Canis lupus familiaris: one gene and its partner. The protein of the gene in region 2 purifies or fractionates together with the protein of the main gene of each other region. This does not show direct contact. Links are inferred from orthologs where the notes say so. Each region holds a gene or a part of one and is shown on either strand. Other genes may lie near its edges.

The links. The genes of interacting proteins can lie anywhere in the genome.
Region 1: the proteins of RNF25 (region 2) and UBE2E2 purify together in Homo sapiens (affinity purification with mass spectrometry; 3 studies listed by BioGRID and IntAct, counting the BioPlex papers as one, with this or other methods). This does not show direct contact. The link is inferred for Canis lupus familiaris from reciprocal best matches to the Homo sapiens genes RNF25 and UBE2E2.

Annotation. Positions count from the first base shown.
Region 1 is NC_049244.1:20,994,928-20,999,365, reverse strand, and holds the start of UBE2E2 (ubiquitin-conjugating enzyme E2 E2), read left to right. Parts: upstream 1-1,501; 5' UTR 1,502-1,604; intron 1,605-4,438.
Region 2 is NC_049258.1:25,146,051-25,150,728, reverse strand, and holds the start of RNF25 (E3 ubiquitin-protein ligase RNF25), read left to right. Parts: upstream 1-1,525; 5' UTR 1,526-1,682; coding exon of another isoform or gene 1,683-1,925; coding exon 1,926-1,966; coding exon of another isoform or gene 1,967-2,231; exon of another isoform or gene 2,232-2,246; intron 2,247-4,197; coding exon 4,198-4,272; intron 4,273-4,514; coding exon 4,515-4,617; intron 4,618-4,678. Other genes in the region: STK36 (serine/threonine-protein kinase 36), read right to left, coding at 57-197, 1,137-1,202, 1,683-2,231. UniProt on the Homo sapiens protein: E3 ubiquitin-protein ligase that plays a key role in the RNF14-RNF25 translation quality control pathway, a pathway that takes place when a ribosome has stalled during translation, and which promotes ubiquitination and degradation of translation factors on stalled ribosomes.

The DNA of each region.
Region 1 (4,438 bases), on a different chromosome or scaffold from region 2:
TTGTCTCATGAATGCTTCTCTCCAGGAATCAAACCTGTTAGTCACTAGTAAAATCCCTCATGAATGCTTGCTCTCAGAAATTATAAAATTTGGGGTGCTATATGTGTATAACCTTATTTAATTCTCACAGCAACCTACTGAGATAGGGGTATTGCAGCCTACCATGGAGGTACACCGCATATCTACTATACTCACATTGTCCATTCTCTGGAGAGGAAAGGACACTGGAAATGGAGTTTATCATTGATCTTGCCTACATGATGAAGGCTCCATTAAAATCCCTGAAGGGGGGGTTCAGAGAACTTCCTGGCTGGAAGTTCTACCTACATATCTATCTCCTGGAAAGGGTGACACATCCCAACTCCACAAAGACAAAAGCTCCTGCACTCAGAATCTTTCCACACCTCACCCCATGTATCTCTTCATCTGACTGTTCATAGGTATCCTTTATCATATCCTTCATTATATAATAAACTGGTAAATGTAATTGTTTCCCTGAGTTCTGTGAGCTATTCTGGCAAATGATCAACTCCAAGGAGGGGGCTGTGGGAACTTCTTTTGTAACCAAATCATACAGAAGTTGTGGGTAACCTGGGAACTTACTACTCACTATTGGTATTTGAAGTTGAGAGCAGTCTTGTGGATTTAGCCCTTAACGTACGGGATCTGCACTAACTCTAGCAAGTCAGAATTAAATTGAATTAAAGTGTAGGACATCCAGCTGATGTCACAGAGAATTGCCTTGGTGTGTGGGGGAAACAAGACCCATGTATGTAGTGTCATAAGTATTATGTGTGTGAGTAAAGCAAGAGAGTTTCTCCTGTATACTCCTAATGATTTTCACCTACTAAATTCACACCTTTGTTTAAATTTCTCTTCTTGAGCGTGGGTTAAACTTATGCACTCACTTCTACCACATAGAACACAGCAGAAGTGATGGGATGTCACCTTCAAGATGAGATTAGAAAAGGCTATGGCTTCCATTATGGATGCTTTTCTCACTTGCTCTCTCACTGTCTCCTGTACCTTGTGTCACACACTGAAATGTGTCTCTCCCAAAGTCTGTATGTTGAAGTCCTAACCCTTAATGTGATGGTATTTGGAGATGGGACCTCTAGAGAAGTAATTAAGGTCAAATGAGGACATAAAGGCTGGTGTCCTTATAAAAAGAAGATGAGACATCAGAAATCTCTCTCTCCATACATGCACAGAATAAGGCCATGTAAGGACATGGTGAGAAGGCCACTGTCTAAAAGCCAGGAAGAGCACTCTCACCAGAAGCTAAAATTGTCAAGACCTTGACTATGGACGTCTAGCCTTCATAACTGTGAGAAAATAAGCGTCTGGCATTTAAGCTACCCGGGCTGCAGTATTTTGTTATGGCAGCCCAAGTAGACTAATACACATGTCATGAGGCAGTCCTGTGGAAAGAACTGTATGGCCAGGAACCAAAGCTTTTCAACAACTACATGAGTGAATTTGGAAGCAGATCTCCCTCAATCAAACCTTCATATGAGACCACACTTCTAGCTGACAGTTTAACTGTCAACTTAAGCCAGAGGCACTCAGCTAAGCTGCACCCAGATTCCTGACCTGCAGAAACTGTAAGATAACAAATGTTTATTATCATAAGCTACTAAGATTTGTAGTAATTTGTTATGCAACAATAGATAACTAATATATGGAAGTAATGCTCAGTGTCAAGAGATTAGGTAGATAAGGTGACTAACCAGAGAGTCAGCCCCAAATGCATTGCCAAAAATCAAAAATTTTTTAAAAAAGGAAGGAAAGAGTCAGAGCAGGGAACTGGGAATTCTAGTCTGCAGTCAAATAAAATATAGATAAGGAGGCAAAAGCAAGGAACAGACAACTGGCCAGGCAAATGAGAAGCCATCTTTGTAAATTCCAGAATGAGAGGGCCCCAACCTGAGATTGGATGCTCCAGGCCATAAGGTTTACTAGGTTTACTTCCAATATCCATAACAAATAGGTAAGGTGGTGTCTTAGTTTGAGTTATCCCAGAAACATATTTTGAAATAAAGATTCAAGGGAAAGTAGTTCATTCGGAGGTGATCCAAAAAAAAAAAAATACCACTAATGGAGAAGGGAAGTAAAACAGGAAAGAGAAGAAAGTGAATGGCATATTCTGTTCGGGCTGCTGTAATAAAATACCATAAACTGGGTGGCTCATAAACAACAAATATATTCCTCATAGTTCTGGAGACTAGTCCAAGATCAAGACCCAGGCAAATTCAGTCTGGTGAGAGCACTTTTTCAGGTTCCTAGATAGTGCCTTCTAGCTATTCTTCACATCACAGAAGGAGCTCTATGGGGTGTCTTTTATAGAGGACTTCACTCTCATGATCTAAGCGCCTTCCAAAAGTCCCACCTCCTAATACCATTACATTGGGCATTGAGTTTCAACATATGGATTTTGGGGTGGGAGGGAAGGTACACATATACATTTGGCATATAGAAGACAATAATGAACACGTCAAGGGAGGGGGAGGGCATGAATTCCCAGTACCTGTTGCCTATAAAGACATACATGTGCTAGTAATGGGAGGTTAGCTGTGTGCCTGGACATAATAAGCGCCAAGGGGATAAGAATGAGACACTGGGAGCATCTGCTACATTAGGCCCTCTGAAGAAGCCTATAATTGTCTAGGTAACAACTACATACAGTCTTTCTAAATGAAACCATTAAAAATTACTATCATGAAAACCTGTCAAAATGAACATGATTGTTATGCTTTTTTAAAGAGATTTGAAAGAGTAAATTCAAATGAACTCAATCTCATTCTTGCACTAAATCTTGACTTGGGTCAGAGACCTTTGAAAAGTTACTAACTTCTCTGAGCCTTAGTTTTCTCGCCTGTAAAATGGACGCAATAATTCCTACTATAGTTGATAATTATGAGATAAAGTATGTCAAATATGGAGAAAATTCAATTTTTTTAAGTTTAAAACTGCTACAATAATTTAGTGATGGCAAATGTGCCAAAGGATTGCTTAAACAAAATTAGTAACACTACATAAAGTCAATATTAGTATATACTATAGATTGGATGTTTGTCCCCCAAAATTCATATGTAAAGTACCTAACACCCAATGTGATGGTATTAGAAGGCAGGGCCTCTGGGAATTGACTGGATCATGAGGATGGAGACCTTATATAAAAGAATCCAGAGAGTTCCCTTGTCCCTTTCACCATATGAGAACATGACAAGAAGGTAATTGTTTATGAACTAGGAAGTACATTCTCAACAGGCACCAAATCTGCTAGCACCTTGACCTTAAACTTCCAAGTATCCAGAACTATGAGAAATAAATTTCTATTGTTTATAAGCCACCTGGTGTGTTGCGTTCTGTTAAAGCAGCCCAAACAGACTAAAATAGTGTCCTTGGAATAACAGGGTCAACAATGCTTATCAGTATCAAAATACTTAATCAATGAGCCATTGTACAGACAAGTATTTCTTACCACTTTCTTTCACATTCCAATGCTAAAATAACATAAAAAAGCCTAATGTTGTTTTCAGGCATATCCAATCAAAAATTTGTTATTTCTTTATTAAGGCTATTGTATAAAAAAGAAATATCCTATCAAAATGGTGAAAATTCATCTAAATAAGTTGGAATCCTTAGGGGAAAATGAGCTTTGCATGTGAAAAAACAAAATAACAGAGAAAATGGAGGAATAGCTCTCCAAAATTATAATTTCTTAAATTGTAAAACTGCACTGCATTGACAAAATTTGTCAGTATATAAACTAAAGGAAGGAAGCACCCTTTTTTTTTTTTTTTTTTTTTTTTTTGAGTTTGCTTCTGGAAAACTCAGAGCTGGAGATGAAATTTAAATTCACGAAGAATTGCCAAACAAGTAAAGCAGGGCTAACTGGCCAAAAATAAATAAACTAACTCCATATATGTGAGAAATGAATAGAAACACTATACATTCCTGTAAGTATCCCAGGGTTCATAAAAATAGTTCAAAAACCTCTGAAAATCTCTGATAAATAGACACAAATATTTAAGACACTTTAAAATTGGCAACACTATCACATGGTAGTGTGATACCAATGTGTGACAAACCAAATAGGAGGTTGTTACAAAGAGTTTGGGGTTTTGTGTTTTTTTAAGATTTTATTTATTTATTTGAGAAAGAGAACATGAGCAGTGGGAGAAGCAAAGGGAGAAAGACAAGCAGACTCCCTGCTGAGTGTAGAGCCTGATGTGGGCTCCATCCCAGGACCCTGAGATCAGGTCCTGAGTTGAAATTAGACCGAGCCACCCAAGCCACCCCCATGCGTTGGGGTTTTTTTATGCAAGTAAGAAAGAGGTACATATTGCATCAAATTAATAAGGTATAGGAGGTCCAGAAGCAGTGCTTGGAACAGGCAGACAAAATGGAATGGCTCAGAAGTTCCATCTGTAAA
Region 2 (4,678 bases):
AGGAAATTTCTGGGAGCCTTCTTCTTGGGGAAGGGTGACCCAAAACCCAAGTGCACCTCTTTGTCAGTTTCAAAGCTGTCAAGCATATGCACTATGTTAGGATGCCGCAGACCCCGCATGATTTCAATCTCTCGTTGCAGATTTCTCAGCTCCTTCTCTGAGCGTCCTAATTTTGGAATGAACTTCAGGGCCACCACCTGTCAGTGGTAAGATGAAACATCAAGGCCTAATCACGCTATTGAAACATTCATCTCAGAGTTCCAGAACTCAGGCTTTAGATTGAACAAATTCTCATTACCCACTAGTCAGCTACTCCCCTTACCCCATATACCCTGGCCTTATCTAGGCCTCCCCCACCCCCTGCCCTAGGACAAAACAGCCTCCACCAGGCAGATCCCTTTGGTGGATTCTGGGAGAGGTGTTCTAATCTGGGTAAAGCACTCTGGGTAAAGATTTAAGGGAAAGAAAAAAAAAAAAAAGATTTAAGGGAAAGAGAAAGAAGAAAAAAATGAAGAAAGAATAGAGTTCAAGTGGTCTCTCTCTTCTGCTATGGCTTGACAGAGAGAATAATAATAAACATAATTTATTTACTGTTTACTAGGTGCCAGACACTATACTAGCGTAGTGATTCAGTGTTAATCACATTTAATCCTCAAACCCCATCAATCAGATACTGTTTTTATCCTCATCCTAGAGATGAGGAAAGAGACGCTGAGAGGTTAAGTAACTTGTCCATAGTTCAAAGGCTACAAAGTGGTGGACTTAAGATCTGAACTCAAGTAATCCAATATTAGAGCTCCTACTCTGTCAGAGGAATGAGAGAGTGCTTCAGGAATACTGGCCGGTAATCTGGTCCCATTTTCCACAGTAGTTGGAGGTACAGAATCCCACCCAAGAGACGCCCCTCTTTGTGCACCACCTGAGCACTGTATTTTCTTCGACCCTTATACACCCTCCCAAAAGAGCCTTCTCCAATCATCTCCAACACGTGGTACTTTTCCATGACAGAGGCTTCAGGATCCCTCAGAAGGAAGGAGGTAGAGATGGTGGTGAAGAGCTACAGCTCCAGGGACAGGTCTACACATCTAGGAGGCCTGGTGCGGGCATGGAAGAAAGCTTAATGTTAGCCACCTTGCCTTTTCCTTTTTCATAATAATCCAGGCTTCAAAAACATCGTAGTGGAGTGAATGGCAAGACGAGATCTCGGAGCAAACAGAGCGCCTCTTGTCGTTCTCCCTCCTTTCCAGCCCCCCCCACCCCACCCCAACTCCGTTCCCGTAGGACGCAGTGGCCCCCTTCCCTCTCCGCGCACACCCGACCGCCCGGCCCCGCCCCCTCCCCCGCCCCAGCCGCGTCCTCGCCCCGCCCCCTCCGCCCAGCCTCGCCCCCCCGCCCCCCCCGCCCCCTCCATCCGGCCAGACCCACCGACCCCGCCCCTCCCAGCCTCTCCCAAGTTCCCGCCACCGCCAACCTGCCCAGCAGCCCGCCCACGGCCCCGGCCGGCGCGCTTCGCAGACCGGAGCCCCTCGCTCACCCCCAGCCTAGGCGCTTCCAGCTCCTCAGGCCGAGGGACGTGGGCCCGGGCCCTCAGCCCCGCCCCGCCCGGCTGCCTGCACACTTTGCCTGACTTACAATTCTTCCCCTCCCCCCCACAGCCGGACTCTTTGGACTCCCACTGTTACCAGCTGTAGTCGTTGGAATTGGCCAGAAGAAGCCCAGAGGACAGAGGCGCTCAGGCTTTGGGAGAGACGGAGGACTGCCCATAGGCACTTCCTAGGGCACTTCCGAGCCGTCCCTTGGGCCTCAGGACCCCCTGAGGACCCGGAGTCCACGGTTGCCTGGAAACGGCTGCGCGCCGGCTCCCTCCTCGCCGCCTCCGACTTCCCAGAGGGCATTTCCGGTTCCGGCTGTGGGCCGGAGGAGACATGGCGGCGTCTGCGTCGGCAGCTGCGGGGGAGGAGGACTGGTAACTCTCGGGGCATGGGCTTTGGCTGGCCGCCTGGGTCCGGTCCCGGAGACTGGCGGTGGCCGCGGACGGTCCGTACGGCGGGCTTGTGGGGCGGAGCGAGGGATAAGGGGTGGCAGCGGCGCTGACATGTCTTCTTGAGAGAGCTTCTGTACCGGGGAGCTGAGGGTGGAGGGGCACCGATCGGACGGGAGAGGAGGCCAGGCCAGCTCGGGCCGCGCCTTAGCTGGCTCGATCCCCTCTTCTCTGGCCTCACTCGTCTCATTGTCCTGAAGTGGATTTGCTCAGGGTCCCAAGGATGCCTGCTTATCACCTCTCCCACCTCCCTTTTACCTCCCGGAGCCGATGCCCTCCAGCCCCGACCCCTTTCCCCTTGGGTCAGCCTATTTCCGCCGAGGTTTTCCTCAACCTTCTCCCTCCCCGACAGCACGAATGAGCTTGTTTGAATAAAGCTTTACACCTCACACAAAGCTCTCCTAGTCCTTCTCTCAAGCATTCTCAACAAGAGACCCAAACCTGGAAGGACTCTGGGATTGGAAATAGGATAAATGTGGGTTCACTCCACATTTTATTAGCGTGTGATGCTGACCGGGCCACCTAGCTTCTGTGAGTCAGTGTCCTGAGATGTAAAAAAGTGGGTGTGGCATCTACCTCATAGAATAGTTGAGAGGCTCACGGTGGATTTATACATAAAAGCGTCCTTTTTCCAATTGAGGTGCGAGCACCTGAGGGGACTAGATGAAGCCTGAAGAGGTAAATCGATTTGCCAAAAAGGTGCATACCTATGACCTAGGAATCCAGGTTATCTGATTCTGAATCATGTTTTTGGTACTAGGACATTATACAGTCTCCCTACCCTCACCCCCTTTTTTGTCACCACCTCACATCCAGGTCCCAAGTCACAACTAGGGAAGGTGAAGCCTCTTCATGGATGTCATTGGTTCAAGGAGCCCAGCCACTGTTGGCCTTTTTGAGACTATCTAGGCTCATGGTTTTCAACTTATTTAGGGAAACTTTATGATTCTGAGGAGACACGTTGAGCCATGGAGAGGCCAGTAGTGATTGCACAGTTAGCCTGTGGTGTCCTGAGACTCCCACACTCACGTCAACCCAAACCACACCACTGTTATCTATTTTATATTTTGAGGGGCCTAAGACTTAAAAAGAAAATTTGAGAACGAGTAATATATGGGATATGCTAGAGCAGCCCTGCTCTTGATGAAGAAGGAACAATAACTGTAAAGGAAACCAAGCATGCGTCCTTATGTGCATTACCTGAGCAGAGCTATGGACTTGAGCCTATCACTAATCTTCAGTGTCATTACAACTCCTGTTTCTTTGATTAAACATGTATGTTCTCTCGTTGACATCAGGGCCACCTGATCTTGACCTAAACAGGTTGATCTAGATCAACCAGATAGCAAGGGTCGTAAATACATTGAATACCGACTATATCCTTTTCTTTCGTTTTTACAGGAGAAGGTTATATACAAATAGGAGAAAAAAGAACCTAGACTACATACTATGGCCAAGATATTATTAGATACTTTACATAAACAGCCTTTTATCATTACAATAAATCTAGACAGTAGGTGGCATTACCTACATATAGTAGCCAGAGTGACTCAAGCTTACGGAGTTACTCAGATCATGTAGCTATAAGTGATTAGTACCTATTACTCGAAAACTGGTGGCTCTTCTGCTACATCATGGTATTTATACCACCTAGACCTCTTTTTCTGTTCAGGTTGCTATCTCCTTGAGTAGGCTTAGGGTAACTGATACTGAGAGTATGTGTAGACACTGGAATCCACATGAACAGTGGTGTAGGGAAAGCTAGGAGTGGTATTGGTAGCCTTGATGTGAATCATTTGACAGCTTATTTCTGGGTCACAGAGATAGTCAACCAGCAGCACGATGGAATTTAAACAGAGTCAGGCTCTGTTTCTAGTTCTGCCTGTTAAACTTTGGTATTTGAGCCAGTCATTTCACCTTCCCAAGAATCCATTTCCTCATCTCTTGACAGGAATAGTCCCTTAAACTCTGATTCCCATGCTTCCTACCTGGCCCCTTGACAATGTAAGAAAATCTATTTCCCCTGTTTTTATGGAGGTTAGCAAAAGAACGCACTCAGGCAAAATTTCGTTTTGTAAAAGTCAGCCATCACAGGCTCTAGCAGGCTTTGATGGGGAGAGCTGTAATGGTGAGCCAATCTCCTCCTGTCTCTCCAGGGTACTTCCCTCTGAAGTCGAGGTGTTAGAGTCTATCTATCTGGATGAACTACAGGTGGTTAAAGGAAATGGCAGGTACGTATTCAACTGAAGGTGGGCAGGAGTCCCCTTAGTAATGAGCAGATTTCATGCAGAATCCATGAGCCTTGATTCAGAGAAGATGTTCTCATGGAGACAGACATACTCCTTTAATCTCCCCCAAAAGAAAGAGCCCACTTCTCACTTCCTCCATCAGCTTTACTGTTTCACTCCCATCTTTCCTGGTCCTCAAACTCCTGCCCAGTCACATCCCAGGTCCCCACTTCATCTACCTACAGATCCTCACCATGGGAGATCTACATCACCCTGCACCCTGCCACTGCAGAAGACCAGAATTCACAGTATGTGTGCTTCACCCTGGTGCTTCAGGTCCCAACACAGGTGAGGCCCCTGCCTTGTGGCAGCAAAGGGAGAAAGGAGAGAGGCTCTGGGGTGGAGTGCT